Linked DNA regions of Saccharomyces cerevisiae S288C. Changing the gene in region 1 together with any one later gene gives a genetic interaction. Each region holds a gene or a part of one and is shown on either strand. Other genes may lie near its edges.

Region 1 (5,087 bases):
CGTCGTAGTCGGCGTTTCCTTGACCGCACTATCAGAGAGATTCGAGAACGTGCTGAATTCCGCAACGTCAATATACTATTGGTTAAACTGGGGTCTATGGATTATGATCGGAATGGGTCTCACGGCCTTGCTTTTCGGCTGGAATACCCACTCTTCCAAGTTTAATCTGCTTTACGGCTGGCTTGGTGCCATTTTATTTACCGCGTATCTTTTCATCGATACGCAACTGATTTTTAGGAAAGTGTATCCTGATGAAGAAGTTAGATGCGCCATGATGCTTTACCTGGACATCGTCAATTTGTTTTTGTCTATTTTAAGGATTTTGGCCAACTCTAACGACGACAATTAAAAAAAGGGAAAAATCGAATTATTTACACGAATATATATATATTTCTTCTTCTTTTACATAGTTTATAATTCATACATAGTGGGAGCTGATCATAGTCTTCTCATCTTTGGTGATCTTACACCACCAAACTTCAATTTGGTGGCATCGCTGATCTTCACAACCTTTTTCACCACACTGGCCCCTTCCTTACCAACAAGAGCGGAAATAAAAGCAGCTCTGCCCTTCCCAAAGTCGTCCATCACCACTTCGATATCTTTGTTCAGCATGTTCTTTTCCTTAATCAATTCAAACATTCTACCACTGGTTTGAAATGCAGCTTCATACTCCCCTCTTGCTGCCTTCCTAAACCCTAAACAACCTGTAGATAGCGAAATCTTCACTTTCTGGGGTAAGTTCAAATAGTACAGCATTGTATCATTATACGTAAGTCCCTTATTCTTATGAAAGTTCTTGTCCTCCACAACGCTTGAAAATGTCAAATGCGTGTTATTTTTAGTAAACTTGCCATGTAGAATGTACTTAACTACTTCCTCTTTGGGCTTGTAAACCTCACTACTACCATTTGACTTTGTCAAAACTGAGTCAGAGGACGAAGGATACGAGATATTCGTGATATCCTCCTGATTTGAAATATCCTTAAATGAAAAAGGAACTCCTCTATTCGTGCCGGTAGAATTCCATCTTCTGATAGGCCTGACAAACTGCGTCCATCGGCAGCCTTTCCAAACAGGTTGTAACAGCATCACACGTAACTATAACAGTTCACACTGTCACTTTTTCTTTTCAGAAGAACCACTGCTTTCCACCTGATTTACTCTCATTTTGTCTTCCCTCTTTCCCAATTCATCGTTATTATGCCAAACAGTCACGAAGTACGAAACAAACACTCTCCGCTGCTATAGAAAGTTCCAATCTTAGGCTGAATAATGGAATACTAGTAGCTCAGTGATTATCATCATAATTGAAGCTATCATTAAAAAGCATGCAGCCATATTATGCAGGAATTATATGATCACACGTAGCTGTAGTGGCTTTCGAAAGCAGCATTCTTGCTTCCACTCAGTTCGTATGTAATGACAGTTCAGTGACCCACAAACAACACTGAAAAAAGCGACCTTCATATGCGGAAGAGGGCAGGCGTAACCTCCAAGGGAAAACGACATAGATTTCGCAAGTGAGTGCCATTGTGTCGTGTTAGTAGTGTGGGCAGGCCCGTAACGTGTTTATTGATAGGAGTTAAGCCCAAGACTACAGAGTTCTTTGCTTCATCTTTCAATTTTCTTTTTATTTTCCGAAACCCCCACTCCATCACATTCTAGTACATATGTCTACGGAAGAGCAGAATGGTGTTCCTCTGCAAAGGGGATCTGAATTCATTGCAGACGATGTAACCTCGAATAAATCGAACAACACGAGGCGGATGCTGGTGAAAGAGTACAGGAAAATCGGTAGAGGTGCCTTTGGGACTGTTGTACAAGCATATTTAACCCAGGATAAGAAAAACTGGTTGGGCCCCTTTGCAATTAAAAAAGTCCCTGCTCATACCGAGTACAAGTCCAGGGAATTACAGATTCTGAGGATTGCCGACCATCCAAATATCGTTAAATTGCAGTATTTCTTTACTCATTTGTCCCCGCAAGATAATAAAGTTTATCAACACCTTGCCATGGAATGCTTACCAGAAACTCTACAAATCGAGATTAATCGTTATGTGACAAACAAGCTAGAAATGCCATTAAAACATATCAGGCTATACACTTATCAGATTGCCCGCGGGATGCTTTATTTACACGGTCTTGGCGTTTGTCATCGTGATATCAAACCATCCAATGTTCTTGTAGACCCGGAAACCGGTGTCTTGAAAATCTGCGATTTTGGGTCTGCCAAAAAATTGGAACATAACCAGCCTTCAATTAGTTACATCTGTTCAAGATTTTATAGAGCGCCTGAATTGATCATTGGTTGTACCCAATATACCACCCAGATCGATATATGGGGGCTTGGTTGTGTCATGGGCGAGATGCTTATCGGCAAAGCCATATTTCAAGGTCAAGAACCCCTTCTACAGCTAAGGGAAATTGCTAAATTGTTAGGTCCTCCCGATAAAAGATTCATTTTCTTTTCGAATCCGGCCTACGATGGCCCTCTATTTTCCAAACCACTGTTCTCGGGCTCTTCGCAACAGAGGTTTGAGAAGTATTTTGGCCATTCCGGTCCAGATGGTATCGATCTTTTGATGAAAATATTGGTCTACGAACCACAACAAAGACTGTCTCCAAGAAGAATCCTTGCCCATCAGTTCTTTAATGAATTAAGGAATGATGACACTTTCTTACCAAGAGGTTTCACTGAACCAATCAAGCTACCAAATTTGTTTGATTTTAATGATTTTGAGTTACAAATTCTGGGTGAATTTGCTGATAAAATTAAACCTACGAAAGTTGCTGAATAATAATTTTCTATTAATTTGTTCTCTTTCCCCTCGGAAAATTTAATGAACAAAATACTATGATTTTTTTCACCTTTGATCCGCTGTTTATATTTCACTTGGAAAAGAAAAAAAATTTTTTGGAATAAAATATATTCAAATTTCCATTTGATATTATCATACACTTCTTTTATCCAGTCACTCCTTCAATTTCTTCTTTATTTTTTATTTTATGTTCCTAATTTTTTTTTATCTCTTTCCTATTTCCTGTTCTTTTATTAATCTGAAATATTATTATTACTTTAGTGTTAGTTTATAATTTTAATTAGGCCTACGTGGCTTGTAATAAATTGCCTCGCATGTTATCATTACTTATATAAAAGTATTATTGAAATACCGTCGTTATTTTTTGATATTTATGTGAGAAAAAAGTATTACCCGGAGGAGCCGCAAGGTCATCGGTTAAAATTTTTCAAATATATCAATCTCATCTCATCTAGTTAACAGAACCATTTCTTCAGAAAGCAAAATGCTCATAGTTTTCAACAACAGTGTGATATACCCTAAATTCAATGCCAAGAAAAAAGTCTGCCGCTAAAAGAGCTAGAGAACAAGCAAAAAAAGAAGCGGCCGTACCTGCAACGGATACTGCTACCATAAAAACTTCTGAAACCTCTGCGACGACAGTTAAGCCTGCAATCGAAGCAAGCAAATCGTACGTTCCTAGTGAAGATGAGGAAGAAGACGAAGAGGAAGAAGAGGAGGAAGATGATTACGGTGAATTGATTACTGATGAAGTGGAAAACGGTATTAATCAAGTGCTAGATGCCATCAAAAACAATAAGACGGACAAACTACTAGATCCTAAAGTCAAATTCTTCGAGGATCCCGAATCTGCTGCTGCCAAACTGGCCAATCGTGAGGGGAAGCATAAACCTATTTACCTAAAAGATTATCACCGTATGAACATACTTTCTGGTGATGCCTTAAAGGAGGATGACGAAGAATACGAACATGCAACTGTTGACGGAAAGCAATCTTTCGTCTCGCAACAACGTGAAGAGAAAACTCAGCTTTTAAATGAAATCAAGAGTGCCTTTAGCGATGAAGAAAATGAAGAGTCTAGCGGAGATGAAGACGATGGGTTTTTGAAGAAAAAGGAACCTTCTACGAAGAAGGAAGGAAAAAATTTACCGGATCCAACCGTAAATGAAGAAAATTTCTTGGAAGAATTTGTGAATCAACAGGCCTGGATTCCTAAGAAGGGGGACAAGGTGATTTCTCTTGACCTCAACAATAATGAAGAGGACGATGAAGAATTTGAAGATGCTGCAGAAAAATTTGAGAATGCCTACAATTTTAGGTACGAGGACCCAAACGCAGCTGAAATTATATCTTATGCACGTAGTCAAGCTACACTAAGAAGATCCGATGACTCTTCACGCAGAAGAAAAAGAGAGGAAAAAAGAAAAATTAAAGAGCAAATAAAAGCAGAGAAGGAGACAGCTCTTCAGAAAAAGAAGACTAAAAAATTGAATAAATTGACTGACATTTTAGAGCAACTAACAAAGGAATATGGTGCTGAAATTAATGCCGACATGGTGAAAAAAATCACTGACACCCTATTGAAGAACGATTTCAAAGAAGAAGAGTGGGATAACGTGGTAGCTGAATTATTTAATGAAGAATTTTATCAACAAGAGGGAAAGCCTACCTGGAACGAGGATGACGAAATAATGGGTGACTTTTATGCAGACGCCGATGGTGATGACCAAACAGAAGAAGGTGAAGTGGAAAAAGAACAAAAAGAAGAAGACGAGGAAGAAGGTCCAAAAAGAAAGAAGAGCAAGAAAGAAGAGAAACTGCAAAAGAAGAAAGAAAAGAGAAAGGTAAATGAATTAGTGGAAAATGCTTTGGAACAAAACAAACTAGCACTAATAGAGGAGGTTGAAAAAGAAGAAGAAGAAAGAAAGAGTAGAAGCCGTACAAAAGAGGAGCAAGATTTGAAGTTTCGTTACCGTGAAGTTTCTCCTGAGAGTTTCGGTTTGACCGCAAGAGAGATTTTCGCCGCCGATGATACTGATTTAAATGAATTTATTGGTTTGAAGAAATTTGCACCTTATCGTTCCAAGGAACTAAGAGCGAAGGATAAAAGGAAAGTGATGAAGGCAAGAAGATTAAGAGAGTGGAGGAAGAAAACTTTTAAGAACGAAAATGGGTTAGCTCCAGTCGAAGCAGAGGCAGGGGAGAAGGATGAGGACACCATACTGATACCTGTAGAGAAAGCCTCTAAAAGCAAACACAAGAGGG
Region 2 (4,801 bases), on another chromosome or scaffold:
GTCTTGCACAATCTATCCACACTACTGCTGTCGGTATCCTGAATTGCTCACTCGGAATTGAATAAACTTTATTGTAGCACAAATACATGAAGCTAGACAAAATAATTGACCAACAGGCCCCTATCAATTGGGCACAGAACTGAGCTCTTGGGGAGGCGCCGAGGAGGTGCCCCGTTTTCAAATCCTGCATTAAATCGCCCGCCTGTTGGGCAGAGGCTTCTGCAATACCTCCCGATACCACGTTCATTAACACTGATCCAGGTCTATCCCTTGGTATGATAAAGGCAAAAATCAATTGAGAGATCTTACCAATGCCGCTCACAGGATTCAGATCGGTCTCTCCAAGTGCTCGAATACCGAGAATAGATAGAAACAACGCAAGTATCAAAGCAGTGATAATAGCATATAGGGGAATTACTTGTATCCCAAACAAATATATTATGGAAACAATGCATATTATCGAGGAGACTAGACATCCACTGATAACGGTGGTATAGCGAACCAAATGCTTCGAATCTACTTCTATTTCGTTATCTCTACTCACTAATCTTACGGTGTCCTGCCTTCCATCAACATATGTATTTCTTCTGCTGCTATTAATGGCGCGTTCCTCCTCCAGTAACATAGATTGAAATGTATCATCGATTATGTTGTTCAGTAAAGCAGCTTTGTCATCTATAAGAATAAATTTCACAATGGACTTCACTGTCACAACAATAAAAGCGACTACACTGTCAGCAACCATTATTGAAAGCGACGACCAAAGAATCCATCCTTGCACTCCCTCCTCCCAGTCGTGGACATCAGCATCTGGTGGTACCCATCTTTTGTATCTCGCCAATGGTGCTAACACACCCCAGCCTAAGAAGCACCCGATAAGCATATACGATACTGTTGGAAGACCCATTATTATCCCTTGGCCTATATACGCAGGCGACGGCTGAAAATTCCAGAGATAATTGTTCGAGAGGTATTTTCCGAAGACTGGAATAGACCGTATTACCGGTACAAAATATGACACCATGGTGTAAAGCGAAGAAACAACAAAAGTTTTCAATAAAATAATAATATTCGCTCTGTAGTTCTCAGAGCCAGTAGAAAGGATAGAACTTCCATCTTGGCTAGTTGCCGTATAATCACCAAGTTCGCTATGAGAAGAGTTCATTAAATAATCCGCCTCCTCTGGATCTCTGTTGGGTTGTAGCACTTCAGGGCATTCATTCAATCTCCTCTGCCTCATTTCCAATAACTCTGACTTAGAAACCTCTTGTAAAATCTCAGTTCCATTTAGCACTGAAATTAAAGTGGCCGTGGCGCTACCACTGGGGAAGGGAAGTTTCTCTCTAACAATTACTTGCTTTCTTAGAGGAACTGCAAAAAAAATACCGAAGAATGCTAGGGCTGTGGACCATATTAACAATTCTCTAAAAGTGAAGGACTGTCCTTGTTCCCTTAATCCACCACTTTCGTCGTTAGTAAGGAACTTCTCGATGGCAGGTATGACGCCGACAAACCCAAAGGCTAATGGGCCTGTTCCGACAGCTACTGCCATACTTTGTACGTATACATTTTCAACGTCACTGAAAGGCCTGTCGTTCGGAAATATTAATGGCCAGATATTTTTAAAGAAAGCACAAGCTAACAATGCCGATGGCAGGGACATCATGGAAACCCAACCGGTTTGCAGGCCAAATTGAAAATTTGATGTTAGCACCAGAGACCCTATAGCGATACCTGCTATGGTTGCTCGGAGTGTTATCTGCTTCAAAGCAGGTTTATTATCCCATGGTACACGCTGTACTTCTTGACTTGGAGTAGATTGAGGCATTTCAAAGTATTTACAGTACCGATTTAGAATCTTTAACGGTTAGTCCTCTATACTGTGACTCTTTTTCTTCCTATCTTGGTGCGAAAATAAAAAAAATGATGCCTTGAGATAGATCTCACGAAAAATACCTTCTACGGCGTTAAATTTACAGCTTTTCTTTAGCTGCCTGTACCTTTTTGATGAACTAATTTATTTTGGTATCAACAGACAATACTACAAAAGGCTTTGCATTATCTTCCTTCACCCTTATATGCAGCATTCCCCCCTCCCAGAGATCGCATCAGTATCATTACTAATCGATTTTTCACTTCGCTTTATAACCGAATTTCCGCCGAATTATACCCAAAATAAGCAAGATGAAAATATATTGGTCAGATGAAGTATGCATGACTGATTAATCATGACTTTATTAGTTGCATTTATTTATAGTATGTACACAAAAATCTCATCGGCTCGTTTCAGTTGCTACCTAGAAGGATATATTTGAGAATATCGCTTAACGTCAAGACACCAACCAACCGTCCGACGTCATCAACTACAAAGAATCTATGCACCCTTGCTTTTCTGATGTTATCCATAATAGTAGATAATTTATCATTCTTAGTGCATGTATAAACACCCTCAAAATCATCACTTCTCCTCATAAGGGCTTCTCCGACGCTCAATGACAGGTCGTTGTAGATGCCTCCTTTTATCAAGCCTAGGACATCGTATGCTTCATATACGTTGATTAAGTAGCCGTTTTCGTCAATAATAGGGACGGAAGAAACCCGACCTTGGGTAAGCATCTGAATGACGTCTATGACCGGAGTGGTCATTTGACAGCTTTTCATGTTATCTTGCGTAATAATGTTCAAGTCCCCAATTGGAATCTTTAGAAAATGTGTTTCCCTGCAATTTAAAGCAACGAACTTCAGAATTCTATATTGCGTAAGAACACTAACGACAATTTCTCTATGTGTCTCTTCATCTTGATCGATCAGTGGTATTCTACCACTTCTTGATTCTAACATCTTAAGACACGCCTCAAATAAGGGTCTAGAAGGATGAATTGAAGCTGTATCTAGTTGATCAACACCGAGAGCACGCTCTATATCTTTTAATCCATCTAACTGTAATTTGTCTACTAATTCGAACTTATCTGGATTGGAGAAGTAATACTGGATGACATTAATAAAATCTGTAGTAGTTAGAAGTCCAGCGAACCTGGAAGTCTTGGAGTCCCATAATGGCGCAGAGACAATGCTATTTTGCAAAAGAACATTCAGTGATTTCTTCACTAACAACGAGGTGTCCAAGACAATTAAACGGTAAGAAACAGGCAACACGTCATAAGATGTTTTCGAGTTCAAAAACTTCCTTATCGATTCTACAGCTAACTGCTGTTCAATAGAAACCTTTTCTTGTGAATCCTGTGTCGGTTTCATTATGTATTTTCCTTTTCGCTTCCTCCTAATGCTAACACAGCAGAAGATGTTTAGCTAACGTTAAAAGATTGATACAATTTTCCAGTTTGCAGCAAAACCACTAGCCCAAGAAGTTCTCAATGTAGATATTATGTTAATAACGATTATTGCATTGCTATGGTTTCTTCCAAGGCCTAAATTTTGTTATTTGCTAAATTTCTCTCCCTCCCAGTTCTCGCGCGTGTGGTGTGTGGGTTCTTTAACATGTGATGAGTTATATCTTGATGTATTCTCAAGGTTCATTACTTTTATTTCTTAAGCTTCTTGAATACATTTATGTTTATACATTATGTATGCGTGTATGGAAATTTCATTATATGCCTTGACATGAACTTTTATTTTTTTTATTTTATCACCTGATCAAATATTGGCTGGTACTAGAGGGCCTCCTTGTATGAATCTCACTCGAATTTTTGGAACGATTCTCCTTATCATTTGTTCGACAACCTTCCTTGCCAATAAGTCCTAGCATACCATCCATCAATCCGTCTTCTCTCGATCTTCCTGTACATCTTGGATCAAATATCTTATAAAATTTTAAGTTTTCATCTCCTCCCACTGTGGCCAATGTGGTTCCGTCAGGGGACAATTGAGAACAGCATATTCTTGCTTCATGAGCATGAACTACTTCTGCAACTTTGAATTTTGTTTCATAATTATAAACAGAGATTGCATTCTCTGGATTACCTCCTGTGGCAACAATCTCTTTATTCATCATACCACCATTGGTTGACGTATGACTTTGGCCCCAATGTAAAGAGCTCACCTGGGATCCGGTATTGATTGAGCCAACTCGTGCACCTGTGATACTGTTCCAAAAATGGATGTGTTTATCTGTTTGTCCGCCTCCAGAGGCTAGAATATTTGGCGAATATGGACACCAGCTTAGTGCTTTTACAGCAGCAGTATGCGTCTTCTTGGAAAATTGAGGCAAGGACGTTCTGGTATCCCAAATCATTACAGTGTTATCATTACCACCAGATGCAAGTTGCAATCCGTCACTTTTATAGCTCAAACCGCAGACTTCGCCTGTGTGCTCTGCCCATGTAGATACAATATGCTGTTTGATCCTGACATCATTGATTTGAATTTCTCCACTACGACTGCCTGTAGCTATCAAAGTATCTAACCAAGACAATGAACCGATACGGACACCTAAGCCTGATCTCATAGTTCTAATTAATGACATGGTCTCAACGTCCCAAATTTCGGTGTTCCCATCCTCTTTACCGATAGAGATATGACAATCATCATCAGACCACGTAACGCTGCATATTGTGGTGTTTTCGAAATCCGTTAACAGGGAAACATCCCCAGTGGTGGCATTCCACAGATATAATGCAGTGTCTAGTGCTATAGCTAAGACATTTTTTTTGGACCAACTTAACAAGTTTAAATAAAAGTCGTCTTGGAAACCAGGTGCATCAAGAATTCTTTCCGGATTGGTATTGATTTTCCTTAATTTAATTAAATCAGGAATTTTTTGTTCCTGCTGATAACTATAATG
Region 3 (4,713 bases), on another chromosome or scaffold:
AAGAAACCAAAGAATCTTTGCAAAACAAGGGCCAAGAAGTAAAGGAACAAGCTGAAGCTTCTATCGACAACCTAAAAAATGAAGCTACTCCAGAAGCTGAACAGGTGAAGAAGGAAGAACAAAACATTGCTGATGGTGTCGAACAAAAGAAGACCGAAGCTGCCAACAAAGTTGAAGAAACTAAGAAGCAAGCTTCCGCCGCCGTCAGTGAGAAGAAGGAAACCAAGAAGGAAGGCGGTTTCTTGAAGAAATTGAACCGTAAAATTGCTTCCATTTTCAACTAATCACACTTGAATGTGCTGCACTTTACTAGAAGTTTCTTTTTCTTTTTTTAAAAATAAAAAAAGAGGAGAAAAATGCTGTTTATTCTGACCTTTTACATAAATTTTTCTTAATTGTATCTATCTAATAACTAATCAATATAATAATAATAATACTAATAATAATAATAATAATAATAATAATAGTAGTAGTAGTAGTAGTAGTAATAATGATGATGATGATGATGATGGATGATCAAAAGCCACAAAAAAGAATGCTCCGAGAATAACCTCGGCGGTTATTTCACGTCCCGGAGGAAAAAAAGTTTGATAAGAAAGTAAAAATATGAGCGGTACGAGAATCGAACCCGTGTCCCCACCTTGGAAGGGTGGGATGATAACCACTACACTAACCGCCCGGGTTAATTGTTATTAGTTGGTGAAACTGATCTCAATCACTATAACATTATGGTCTCTTAATAGCAAAGGCCAACCAACTGACTTCTTGCAAACTGATGTTCAATTTTAGCTCTAAAATAAAACAATGTAAAAGAAAGATAAAATGACATAAAGCACTATCGCTTCAACGGCAAACAATATTGAAAAAGTATCACATTATAGTAAGTTGAACACTAAAAGATTAAATAAATACTTCGGCACACTTTCGATGAAGGAAAGCATTAGTAGTAACGTATATATATCATTGTTGTTGCTACTTTTCTTTGTGGGATATGCACCACTCCCCTCTGCAAAGTGAAGAAAAGGTATGGGAAGAATTTCTTCGCTTATATTACTTACTTTACCCTACTCCTTGAATCACTGACCACTCTGTCCATCACCCAGCTCCCAAATTAACTCCTTCGGTACTAAATCCCGAATGTTTCCATTTTGTTCTTGTACGGGATCGCTGCTGCTGCTGCTGCCGGTTTTTGCCTCATGCTTAGCTATGATTTGTTTTCTCAGCTTTTCATTCCTTTCATACAACCAACTTAAGTAACTCAAGCTTTTCAGGTATATGATTAGTTCTGACCGACTTTCCTGGGGTTGCAGGTCAGGTACTACTGCTACCAGTTCGTCAAATATAGCTCTTTCCAATTCTCTCCTTTTTTTTTCAGACGAAACATGATTTATACGTATTTGACCATCAGTCAATTTATTAATCTTCTTAGACCTGCGTTTCCTTTTCTTCACATTAGCCAGTTCACCCTTTATCTCCTTAATCTCGGACAATCCCGGCTGTATTGTTTGTATCTCCTTAATATCGTTCGTCATTATTGCTTTTCTCTTTTTAGTTCAAGCCGCCCTCTTAACTCCTTCGTCAAGCTTATCTTGTTGGCATTGGAATTTCGCAAACGCAATCGCGCCTCTGTCTTTAAGGTGAGAAAAACATGTGAATATTTTGTTTGATACGTAACAAGCTCATACAAACCAAGCCAAGAAAAAGAAGACGACTAATCTATTTATAACAAAGATATTTGTTCACTATAATGCAATATAGTTCGAGGTTCCTAGAATTGAATATCCCGGATTCATTTTTAAATATCAATAAGATTCCTGATGCTACTAAATTTATTACAGTCACTTATATATGCTTAACTGCAACCCTTTTCTGTATAAGGAGATCCTTGTACAACAAGCTAGTTCTTGAAGACCCTAACTTGGACTACAACTTGATTACTTCGCCGCTTTTGCAAATGGTACCTTCGCAGATTTGGAGGTACCCCACCTCATTAGTTCTATCCAACTTCATCGACACTAAAGCTTGGAAGGTGGTAGTGAACTTATTGAATTTGATCATTGGTGGATCCTTCATTGAACGCAATTGGAACTCTTCCAAAGAAATGTTCAAATTTATCATAGTTTTAGGTTCTCTTACAAACGTTCTGATCATCATGCTGACTTTGTTAGTATCTTTTTTCTCTAATAAGGTAAGGCTGGATATTCCCTTAGACGGGAACTACACAATTTTAATCGGTTTCCCTATCATTTATAGACAGTTATTGCCTGAAACAACTATAATCCATCTGAAGACACCTCAATTTTTGGCCAAAAACTTTAGGTTCAAATTACTACCCATTTTTGTAATGTTTACAATGACGGTAACCCAAATAATATGGTTTCATCATTTTGCTCAATTGTTCTCCATTTGGGTTACCTTTTTTGCCAGTTGGTCGTACTTGAGGTTTTTCCAGAAACTTGCACCCTTGAATTGTCCCTCTTTGCCAACAACTAATTCTCAAGGTGGTCAGGAAATATTGGTCGGCGATGCATCTGATACTTTTCAATTGATTTACTTCTTTCCTGATCTAATTAAGCCGATTTTGAGGCCGATTTTCAATTTCATTTATAATGTAGTTGTTGTAAAATTTAAAGTCATTAAACCTTTTCATGATATTGATATAGATATTGGGAACACCATCGCAGAAAGTAGAGGCGCCAAAAAAATTATGACTGTAGAAGAAAGACGAAGACAGTTAGCTTTACAAGTTTTGGAAGAGCGTATGGTAAACCCTTGATATATGGATCTATATAACTTGAAATATGCTCTATTATATCGTGATTTAATGACGGCTGTTGGCATTTCGGTCTTTACCAAGGTAGTAGGATTTGTATGCTGAATGTGCGCCAGTACTATCGAACCATAGAAACCCATATATTCCCCAATATTAATAATTCTACTGAGAAATGGGTGAATTTTGAAATAATTGTTGGGATTCCATCGTTGATAAAGGCTATAATATTAGGTATACAGAATGTACTAGAAGTTCTCCTCGATGATATAGGAATCCCCATAATGGAATCTATATTTCTATGTACCAATATTACGATTATTCCTCATTCCATTTCATATGTTTCATTATCCTATTACATTATCGATCCTTGCATTTCAGCTTCCTCTAACTTCGGTGACAGCTTCTATAATAACTTATGTCACTATCTAACACCGTATATGATAATATATTGATAGTATGACTACTAGTTGATAGACGATAGTTGGTTTTTATTCCAACATCTACATAGTGGCACTCACTACGCTGCTAAATTTGATCATTTGGTGAATAATTTGATAATTAGTAGTTCTTCTCCGGGATATAGGAATCAACAAAAGGAAAACGATAGTTTTACATAATAATATTAATTTATCTTGCTTGGTTCGCCTTTGAAGAGCGCAGCTTTCAGAGATTTAGCTTCTATGGCCAAGTTGGTAAGGCGCCACACTAGTAATGTGGAGATCATCGGTTCAAATCCGATTGGAAGCATTTTTTTTTAATATTTTAAAATTGTTTATATTTTTGTACCACAAACATCATTAGAAGCTGCAAATGAAGTGAATCAGAAAATTTAAAAATGAAACTAAATACTAAATATTATTGTTCTTTTTCTAACAGTTGAAGTGCCAAAAGCAGTAAATTGTTTAAATATTAGGGTATAAAACATGATATTATAAAGTTAATGATTTAGAATGGCTCCGTCCAGCAGAACCAGTTGATTACCATTAATGTTGAGAGTTTATGCGAGTTTTTCAGGCTCGATTATGAGATACGGTACTAGATAATTCAGGATTATCAGGATTATCAGGGTTTACCACTTGCAATGGTCCGCTCATCATCATGTCGGGTAAAGAATTGGCACTGAACCTTTCATTTGCACTATTCAAAGTATTTGCCTCTTCAAAAACTGTCGATGGAAGGTTCTGTTTCTGAACCGTAGCATCTTGTAAGCCAGCCAAGTTGTTTATGATGCTTCCACTGGTGTTTGAACTAGGACTACTATAATTTGCACCATTACTCATAGAAAAACCATACATATTACTTGTACCGATAGAACCCGCTGTATTACCCCTTGAATGTCTCATCCAATTTGTCGTACCAGAGGAGGGAGGCGGTCCTATTGGATTTGCATCCTCATCACCGAACGAATAGGGCTGATAATGTTTCGTTTCCTCCAAGTCTAATTGGTCGTGCGATTTCCGTCTCCTCCATATCAGGAACAATAGAATCAAAATAATAAAAATTACGCCAAACACAACACCAATAACAATACCGGCAATGGCTCCACCACTCAGACGCTGCTTCGAAGTCGAATTAGATCTATTATTTGAGGCGGCAGCAGTAGCAGTAGCTACCTCAGAAGATCGTTCAACCACGGATGTCCTCGTAACAAATATTGTTTCCTGATGTTGATCAGAAGTACTCACGATCGCTTTTGTAACCACACTAGTCACTAGTTCCACTGAGGTAACTATTGGTATCGTTGATGACGTACTAGGGGTCATTGAGGTCACTTTTGGAGTTGATAGTGTGCTGCTACTCGAGGACACTGGCACCAAGGTGGAAGAGGGTGAAGAAGTACGGCTATCGACTGTGGTATGCTCAGATGAGGACAATGTAATGGATGAGGAGCTAGACGTAACAGAAAAGATAGAGGTAGTAGAGGAGGTAGTAGAGGAGGT
Region 4 (8,735 bases), on another chromosome or scaffold:
ATTGAAATTCACGATCGTCGTAATCCCCATCGCACGTATGTCTTGATCTCCAAAGAAAGTCAATTACTCGGTCACTATGCCCTTTAAATGCATATATTGGCTGGAGTTTCGTCTTCTTATTTTGTTCACTGTCATCATCGTCGCATAGATTAATCAGATAAACTGCGTTATTGCCTCCAACCATTGGCATAATACAATAACCTTCTCCAAAAGGAAGGTAACGTCCTCTCCAGATTGGAAAATTTGTTGTTACAGTTCTCTTTGATTCTGTCGTACTTTTTGAATAATCCCAAAACTTCACCGTCCCATCGTTCGAACTCGACATAATTTCAGAATATTTGAACCGGTTAAAATCTATGCTATTTACGGAGCTTACATGGCCTTTCAAAGAACAGAGGGGAGTGGAGCCTTTTCTCAAATCCCACACAAATATATCATTTCCATGTGAAGATGCCAAGACGTTAGGATCCTTGTAATTCCACTTCACTTGAGAAGCAGCAGATCTCCATGAACTTGTCGAATAAAATGGTCTATGTGGACTTCTCATATCCCAAGCATGTACATACGTATCGACTGAACAGGTAGCTAAAACATCCGGATGTTGCGGATTGAAGTTTATATCTGTAATTGCTCTTGAGTGCCCATGAAGTACAAACTCAATGGCATTTGATGAAGATTTTGCTAAGTTCCATATGATTGCCTTTTGATTCGATGTCGAGACTATCCAATATGGTTTTGCGGGATGTGGCGACCATTGTACATCAGCAACTTGCCAGGGCGTAATATGATGCAACCACCTTGGAGGTGTAAACGGATCATCCAGGTCGATAATATAAAGACCTTGCCGACTGGCCAAAACAATATCCCTACCAGAGGGATTGATAGATACGGCATTGAACCCACCATCTACTTTCAACGATAATGATTTTCCAAAAGTGGGCGAATTATACGGACCTTCATTTATACTACTGCACATAATTAATTCTTCAGTGAATAAACGGGCCAGAGGCGATTTCCCTCAAATATCTTACAATGTTTTTGAAAGTGGGGTGCTCAGCTGATTTGCATCTTTTGATGACCTACTCTGAGATGTTCTTCGACTACATCCCACAGAATGTAAGGGTAACTTGTAATTATCTAACTGTTGCAACTTAGTAAAAATATACAGAAATTCAACGTATGTAAGCAGTCACACTGACTATTTGGCAACTCATACTTAGTAAAGATATCATAGAAGCATTGTAAAATATAAAAAAGGATAGATATATTATTGTCTACTCTTTCGTAACGGCATCAAAAATGGCCTTGAAAGGGCCCTTGAATCCTGTCCACTTTTCAAACTGAGCTACACCTTGGTGTACTAACATTTGTGATCCAGGGACAACGTGCCATTGATATTTGTCTTGTGAAATTGTCATAACGGGAGTAACGCTTGGTTTGTATGCGGCTTCCAATAAGGTTGGTACAAAAGCAGCATGGGCACCTTTCACAAGGAATCTCTCCAGCTTACTTAAAAGTTCGTCATCTAATGGTTTGTCGGCTGGTACACAGCTGACAGCAACGCCAACGTGTTCCTTAATCTCTTCTATAGATTTAGTGGACTCTATTCCAATAATGTTGAATTCAGATGGAAGTGACTCTATTAATGGCTTCAATTTCGAAGTTGTCCTGTTGATTATGAAGATCTTTTTGCAACCTAAACTGTGCAAGGCGTAAAGGGCGGCTCTAGAAGTGCCACCTGCACCGATAACCAAACCAGCGGTATGACCAACATATTCGGGAACGCCATTGTTAATTAAGGCATTACGGATACCTAACCAGTCGGTATTATCACCCTTAAACTTCTTGTTACCCAATGGTATAACTGTGTTTACAGCACCAATAACTTTAGCAGCATCAGTCAATTCATCCATGTACTGCATTATATCTAATTTCAGAGGAATTGTGACTGCAGCACCGCCAAAGTTCTTGTTTCCGTCCAAAAGTTTTTCTTTCACCAATTGTGCGGATTCAGTTTCAAATTTATCGAACTTGTGAGGTAAACCTAAAATTTCATAGCCAGTGTTATGTAAAATTGGCGATCTAGAGTGGCCAATTGGCTTTCCAACAACAAACAGTTCCTTAGGCTCGATACCTCCCATAGATGTATACATCTTGTTAATTTGTGCTACTGTCAATTGGCCAGGGGCAGCGGAGTTAGGCAATAAATCTGATGTCACAGGTGTTAAAACATTATTCAAAACACGAGAAATGCTACCTTTAGAAGTCATATTAACTGCAATTAAAGGCTTATTCTTGTGTGTATCCCTAAAGTGTTCCAGTCTCAAATTATCTTCGAAATTAACAGCCGTACCCACAAATTTTACAACATCCACATCAAGAGTTAACGCTTGATTGAATCTGTTTTCCCATTCAGCGTCGTCCCAGGAGTATAATCCTTGGAAGTCATGATGGGAACCAATGATCTTGGTGTTGCCCCTTTTGTTAATAACCTCATATTGGATATCAGTAGGTAAAGTTAGTTCTAAGTCAAGGAATTCAACACCATTCTTCAAGGCAATATCGTATAGCTCTCTCAAGGTTTTGAACTCTTCATCAGGAAAGTTGCCACCTTGCTTCATGGTTCGCACAGTAAAAATGATAGGAATACTGTCAGTGGCTTTACGCAATATAGATAACTGTTTACTCACGAAATCAGCAGAGTAATTAGCCAAATGGTCTACTCTGACCTCTACAGCCTCACAACCATAACAGATTGGAGTCAAATTCTCAGTTTGTTCAGTTAAGTCATCAAAGGTTAAACACACAAAGGCAGATCTTCCGCTTGGAATTTCTATTTCTCTGACACCTGTAATGGTTGCAATGTACTTACTAAACGATCTTCTTAGAGCTTGGAACTCAGCTTCTGCGGAGCAATGAGGAGCAAAGAAAGAGAAATTTGAGCATTCTTTATACCACCCCTCCCTTCTGTTCCAAACTTCACGAATTTCTTCCACATAGGCAGGTCTTGAAGGATCACTTTGTAAAAAGACAATTGTCTCCTCAATATCCCTATGTAAGTGTAAAACGTATCCACCTGATGAGGCAAAATCTTTTAAGGCTTTTCTAGACTCAGCGCTTTCAACAATACCGCCACCTGTTGAGAAAACATATCCATCATCGCCGTAATTTTGAATAACTTCCTTGAAAATTCTTGTTTCTTCCTCACGGAACTTCTCCCAACCGTTCTCCACAACAAATTGTTTAACACTTTGATTGTTATGCTGTTGCTCAAACAGCTCGTCTAGGTCAACTAATTTGTAACCCAGAGCGGATGCGCACCATTTACTTATAGTAGTTTTGCCAGCTGCTCTCATGCCAATAATGACAACGCTTTTCTTTGAGTTCTTTTTGGATGTGCACTCTAAAGGTTCTGCACCATCTAATTTGGCACCTAGTTCGGAATGTAACACATCCCACCAGCCAGGCCAGGTTTTACCAGTACAATGTCTTTCAAGTATTCTTACAGGATTAGCAACTTCGTCACGTTCATTTTGAGAATTTACCATTCCTGCAAGAAGCGAGAAACTCATGGCCACACGATGATCATCATATGTGCATACACCGACAGGTCCAGAAGAGTCGGAAGGAACCTTCAAATCTTTTATCGAGTTTAAACCATGGACTTGAATACCATCTGGTAATTCTGTAGTTTTGACGCCAAATTTGGCGAGCTCTGTAGCCATGGCCAAAATTCTGTTACACTCTTTGACACGCTGGTTTGCAATACCTTCAATGGTGGTTGTATTTGCAGAATTTGGATCACTGTCGTGCGAAATAGCGGCAACAACACATGCAGTTAAGAACGCATCAGTCATTGGCTCCATATCAACATGTTTTAATGGCTTTAAAGTACCTACAGGAGGACCCGAAACAGTAGTTGAAGTTGCCGTTTGAGTTATTTTACAACCCATAGGTTTCAAGACATCTCTTGCAAATCTGGCATCACCTTGTAACGACTCAAAACCAATGTTTGGAACCGTTACGGTAGTACCAGTCATTGCGGCGAAGGCCAATGGGTATGTAGCACTTGAGGCATCACTTTCAATGACGTATTCTGATGGGTTAATATAATGTCCCTTTGGAATATAATAAGTGTAAGGTTCTGTAGTAGAAGTTTCAACATTGATACCGAATTTTTCCATCATTTTTATTGTCATATCGACGTACAATTTAGAGATTGGCTTACCACCAACAAGAGCCAAAGTTACAGGTTCTTCAGCGTATGGGGCACACATCAAGATAGAGGATACGTACTGAGAAGAAACTGTAGCAGCTAATTCAATTCTACCACCTTTGAATACCGAATCAGTATAAACTTTGATTGGCAGGGAACCTTCATTATTCAAGTACTCAATTTTAGTACCATTAGCACGCAAAGAATCGACCAAAGGAGCAATTGGTCTTTGTTGCATTCTTGCGTTACCAGTTAAAACGATATACTTTTGGCTTGAAGTAGAATTGACCAAGGCAGCCAAGGAAGTCAAAAATCTAGATGCAGTACCTGCATTACCTAGATATAAGGGGTCAGCACAAGCTGACAATGTGGAACCACCATGTCCTTCCACCACTACCGTCTCACCATTATCTTCCCATGATATCGTAGCACCTTTCAATTCATGAACAGCGGTTAACATATGTTTAGTATCATCAGAATGTAATAAGTTCTTGATTTTACATTGACCTTCACCGAGGGCAGCAAGAATTAAAGCACGATTGGAGATGGACTTAGAACCAGGGGGGATAACAACTTTCTGTTGATCAGCAGGGATGTCCTTGAAGGGGTAAACGAGGGTTTCATCTGTTAGAATAAATCTCAGGTCTTCATCGCTAACAAATTGAGCGGAGTCACCATAGCACTTACCAATACTTTCTAAAATGACCACCTTCTTTTTGGAACCCTCGTTTTTCTTGTCAATACTCATTTTCTTCAATAAGATATCCAATGGTGTTTTCTTATGTAAGGTTAGCTCTTTAAACCATTTCTCATCAGGCGAAACAGGCAACCCGTAGGCAACCAAAATCTTGGATAGACGTGCAACTTGGGTAGGGGAGAGAATACCGAAATAACGGGATAATTCCGCCTCTTTAACCATACCAATGGACACACATTCACCATGTAATGCTTGTGGGGTTAGTATAGCTTCATAAGCATGACCAATAGAATGTCCGAAGTTCAAAAGGTTTCTTAGACTGGATTCACGTTCATCCGAAGAGACAACTTCCGCTTTGACCTTAATACTCTCAAGAACTAACTTATATGTATGATCCAACATAGCTTCAATATCTGTATTCGATATCTCGTCAATCTCGTTTGTCAATTGATTGGTAACCTTGACATTTTTTGCCCCATTAACAACATTTAAGAACAACGAAGCGTTTGATTCTAATCTAGTAAATTCGTCAGCGTTCCAAATACAAGCAGTCTTGATAACTTCTGCCATCCCATTGATAAACTCTCTCTTGGCTAACGTTTCTAGCCATTTAATATCTACAAGGACAAATTTTGGTTGCCAAAATGCACCAATAAAGTTTTTACCTAGAGGAGTGTCAATAGCAGTTTTACCACCAATGGAGGAATCGACCATTGCCAATAAGGATGTTGGTACTTGGACAACACGAACACCTCTCATAAATGTAGATGCAACGAACCCAATCATGTCACCAATAACACCACCACCGATCGCTACCATAACCGTATCACGAGTACATCCTTCCACTAAAAGATAATCTTCTAGCTGCGCTTTGGTTTCTCTACTTTTACTTGTCTCACCTGGTTTAACAACATAAGTAAGTAAACGAGAGCCTTCTGGCAAAGAAGCCTTGAATTCCAGGACTAATTGCTGGTAGTATGGAACTTTACTCAAGTTCGTATCATTGCAAATAACGTATGTCGAAGAAGGACAATGTTTAATTATGGTTTCAACCAAATGGTCATGAATGTTATACCCAACGTGGATAATATCATTTCCTAGAATTGGGACTTTGGCTAACTGCACCATCGTAATATACAATTATCTTACGTAGGGATTTCTCAACTAGGAGATTATATAAACTTGAACGACCGAGTATAGCTGTGATCTGTTACTAATGGTTACGAGTCGGCGTCCTACCTTCTATATTAATAAACCGCTTGTATAATGAATTTGTTCGACATTTGCGGTTAGAATCTATGGCGGTGAGAAAAAACCGAGTGAAAAAAAATTTCATGTTCGGGATGAGTCATATGCATGACAATTTACTATATTAAATCTGTGAGATTGGCCAGGAAGGTACCTTTGTCATATATATTGGGAATTTCGGACGCGTCTTTAATCGTGATGTAGTGTGTAAGGTTGTAGTGCTTATGGTCGTAGGCATTCGTGCTATAAAACGTAACATGTTGATCTTGGAGTGGTTCAGCAGCGTCATCTTTTTGTTCTGTGCATTTGAAAAACCAAGATGGGCAATCATCATCCAATGATCTCACCAGTTTTCCTTCTCTCATATACTCTTGAATGGTATACCATTTATCTTGCTCATTTGTAGTCATTCCCTCCTTTACAATGGCCAATTGAAGATACGTGAAAATAGCGCAGATGATAGTGAAGCATCCACATAATATGGTAAGAGTCAGAACAGCTCTAGGGAGCGTACTTGTGCTATTTAAAGAAATGTACCACAGCCTTAGAAAGGCGTAGCACATCGAGAATATGTTGGAAATTAGGAAAAGGTAGAATTGAAGGTAGTTTCCCTTTCCGATGCAGTTATTTATCCAGATGCAATGATGGTCGGCGACGAGAACGCATCGGTTGCAAATGCTACAATGTTTGGATCTAGCAGGCTTGACGATCCGGCATGTCGAACACTTTATGGCAGGATAATACAATAGGTAATCATATGGATATTCCTCTGTCGAGCCTGATTTATGATCCTTTGAATCCTCAGCTCTGCTTACCATGGCTAGAATTCCTAATGCTACCGGCGGTAGTATAATTATAGGCACGATCAGTATTCGTTCTAAAAGGAATAGCTCATTCTTAATCGTAGACTCCACTCTCATGTGGTATGTATATACTAGGTACAGGTAAATAGAGGTGTAGAAAAGAGGTACTAAATGCAACTTCCAACGATATTTTTGGTCATCCACTAGGAAGGGCTGAAACACATTACGATAGAAAGTCGAAAATGGCCATGTTGACTTGAAGACGGGCGAAAGTAATATCAAAACTACGAATCCTATTAGCAGCACAAATAGTAGATTCCATGACATTGTTTGTTCTTTTCATGTTAGGAGACAAAGATATCTTCTTTGGAGGCATAATGAAGTTTTTTTTAGGAAGGCGGAAGTATATATACAATGACACTACCTTTGTTGATAGCTACGAATTTCCTAAAGAGAAAGTATATTGTAGTATTTATATGAGTTGCATAGTACGTTATTCAAGGATAAAATGCCGAATAAATGCTTTAGATGATTTAAAATTCTGTATCGGATGGTTTTAATTAAAAAGTTTCGTTGGAGGTTTTCACCTCATTTTTGAAAAATAAAAATTCAGACCAAAACATTAATTATTTTGGCTTTGAATATACTGACCTCCTGGAAAGCCCTTGGACATTACTAAAATTGAGACAACTGTTTCGATTCCAGCTTAGAACTCCACAGAGCTTCACATGTTTTACACCTCTATTTATATATTCTGACAGTTTCCTTATGCCTTTCCAGTTTAAGGATGAGCGAATGAAAAATGCTTTTAATAAAGAGGTACTTGATGGACCCTGAAAGTTTAAGGAGGCAGATAATGAATGTATATAAATGTTACATGTGGAAGAGAGCGTTCCACAGTAATAGAAGCCTACTGGAAGTTAAACGTCGTGAAAAGAGTCTCCAGAGAAAAATTTTGGAAAGGATTCTTAGACCCAAGGAGGAAAATGCTGTCAAAAAATCTGGATTCAAGCTATGGTCAAGCCATTTGAATAACCCACACAAAACTTATATGCGGCTGGAGGAATTACAGAGACGTATTATGGAAGAGGTACACGTTGAAGGTATTAAAAAGAATGATAAGTTATTCAACGAAATAAATCAATGGCATTTCCAAAATGAAAACACAAGTACTGTTCGAACACCAACATTGCTGATACATGGCTATGCCGCATCTTCAATGTCTTTTTTCAGAAATTATCCAGGTCTGTCCAAGCACATCCGAAATTTATACTCAATTGACATGCCAGCGAGCGGATTGTCTTCAGTACCGTCTTTAGAGATCAATACAACAACACCTCTGCCGTTAGATATCAAATTTATTGGAGAAAATAAATTTAAGGTTCCATATACAATAAATGCAAATCACAATAAATTTGTGATTCAAATGTACGAAGATTTCTATCTCGACAGAATCGAGCAATGGCGCATTGATAACAAATTGGGCAAAATGAATGTTGTGGGGCATTCTTTTGGCGGATATTTATCTTTTAAATATGCTGTTAAATATCCAAACTCGGTAAACAAACTTTGCTTGGTATCCCCACTAGGAGTGGAAAGGAATATCTGGTCTGTAAATAATAATTTCCACTCCAACACTCTTTATACTATCGATTTTAAAAATCCAAATTCCAAGTTTTACTCCAAAAGAAATATGATTCCAAAATACTTATTTGAACAACAATTTCACATTTTGAGAATGATGGGACCATTAGGAGCTAAGTTATGTTGG

What was found.
Region 2: mutations in MCK1 (region 1) and SNF4 together harm fitness more than expected from each alone (negative genetic interaction), as found in Saccharomyces cerevisiae (5 studies listed by BioGRID).
Region 3: mutations in MCK1 (region 1) and INO4 together harm fitness more than expected from each alone (negative genetic interaction), as found in Saccharomyces cerevisiae (5 studies listed by BioGRID).
Region 4: mutations in MCK1 (region 1) and ARO1 together harm fitness more than expected from each alone (negative genetic interaction), as found in Saccharomyces cerevisiae (5 studies listed by BioGRID, with this or other methods).

The regions. Positions count from the first base shown.
Region 1 is NC_001146.8:54,160-59,246, reverse strand, and holds MCK1 (serine/threonine/tyrosine protein kinase MCK1), read left to right. Parts: upstream 1-1,673; coding exon 1,674-2,801; downstream 2,802-5,087. Other genes in the region: BXI1 (Bxi1p), read left to right, coding at 1-349; mitochondrial 37S ribosomal protein uS11m MRPS18, read right to left, coding at 439-1,092; KRI1 (Kri1p), read left to right, coding at 3,350-5,087. UniProt on the Saccharomyces cerevisiae protein: May be an autophosphorylating tyrosine kinase, a bifunctional (serine/tyrosine-specific) protein kinase, or a serine kinase that is a substrate for an associated tyrosine kinase.
Region 2 is NC_001139.9:290,487-295,287, reverse strand, and holds SNF4 (AMP-activated serine/threonine-protein kinase regulatory subunit SNF4), read right to left. Parts: upstream 3,256-4,801; coding exon 2,287-3,255; downstream 1-2,286. Other genes in the region: YGL114W (uncharacterized protein), read right to left, coding at 1-1,828; ubiquitin-protein transferase activating protein CDC20, read right to left, coding at 3,647-4,801. UniProt on the Saccharomyces cerevisiae protein: Adenine nucleotides-binding subunit gamma of AMP-activated protein kinase (AMPK), an energy sensor protein kinase that plays a key role in regulating cellular energy metabolism.
Region 3 is NC_001147.6:110,355-115,067, forward strand, and holds INO4 (Ino4p), read right to left. Parts: upstream 1,533-4,713; coding exon 1,077-1,532; downstream 1-1,076. Other genes in the region: ZEO1 (Zeo1p), read left to right, coding at 1-284; YOL107W (uncharacterized protein), read left to right, coding at 1,748-2,776; WSC3 (Wsc3p), read right to left, coding at 3,784-4,713. UniProt on the Saccharomyces cerevisiae protein: Transcriptional activator of phospholipid synthetic genes (such as INO1, CHO1/PSS, CHO2/PEM1, OPI3/PEM2, etc.).
Region 4 is NC_001136.10:701,790-710,524, reverse strand, and holds ARO1 (pentafunctional protein ARO1p), read right to left. Parts: upstream 6,042-8,735; coding exon 1,275-6,041; downstream 1-1,274. Other genes in the region: MTC5 (Mtc5p), read right to left, coding at 1-976; palmitoyltransferase SWF1, read right to left, coding at 6,281-7,291; ECM18 (alpha/beta hydrolase family protein), read left to right, coding at 7,767-8,735. UniProt on the Saccharomyces cerevisiae protein: The AROM polypeptide catalyzes 5 consecutive enzymatic reactions in prechorismate polyaromatic amino acid biosynthesis.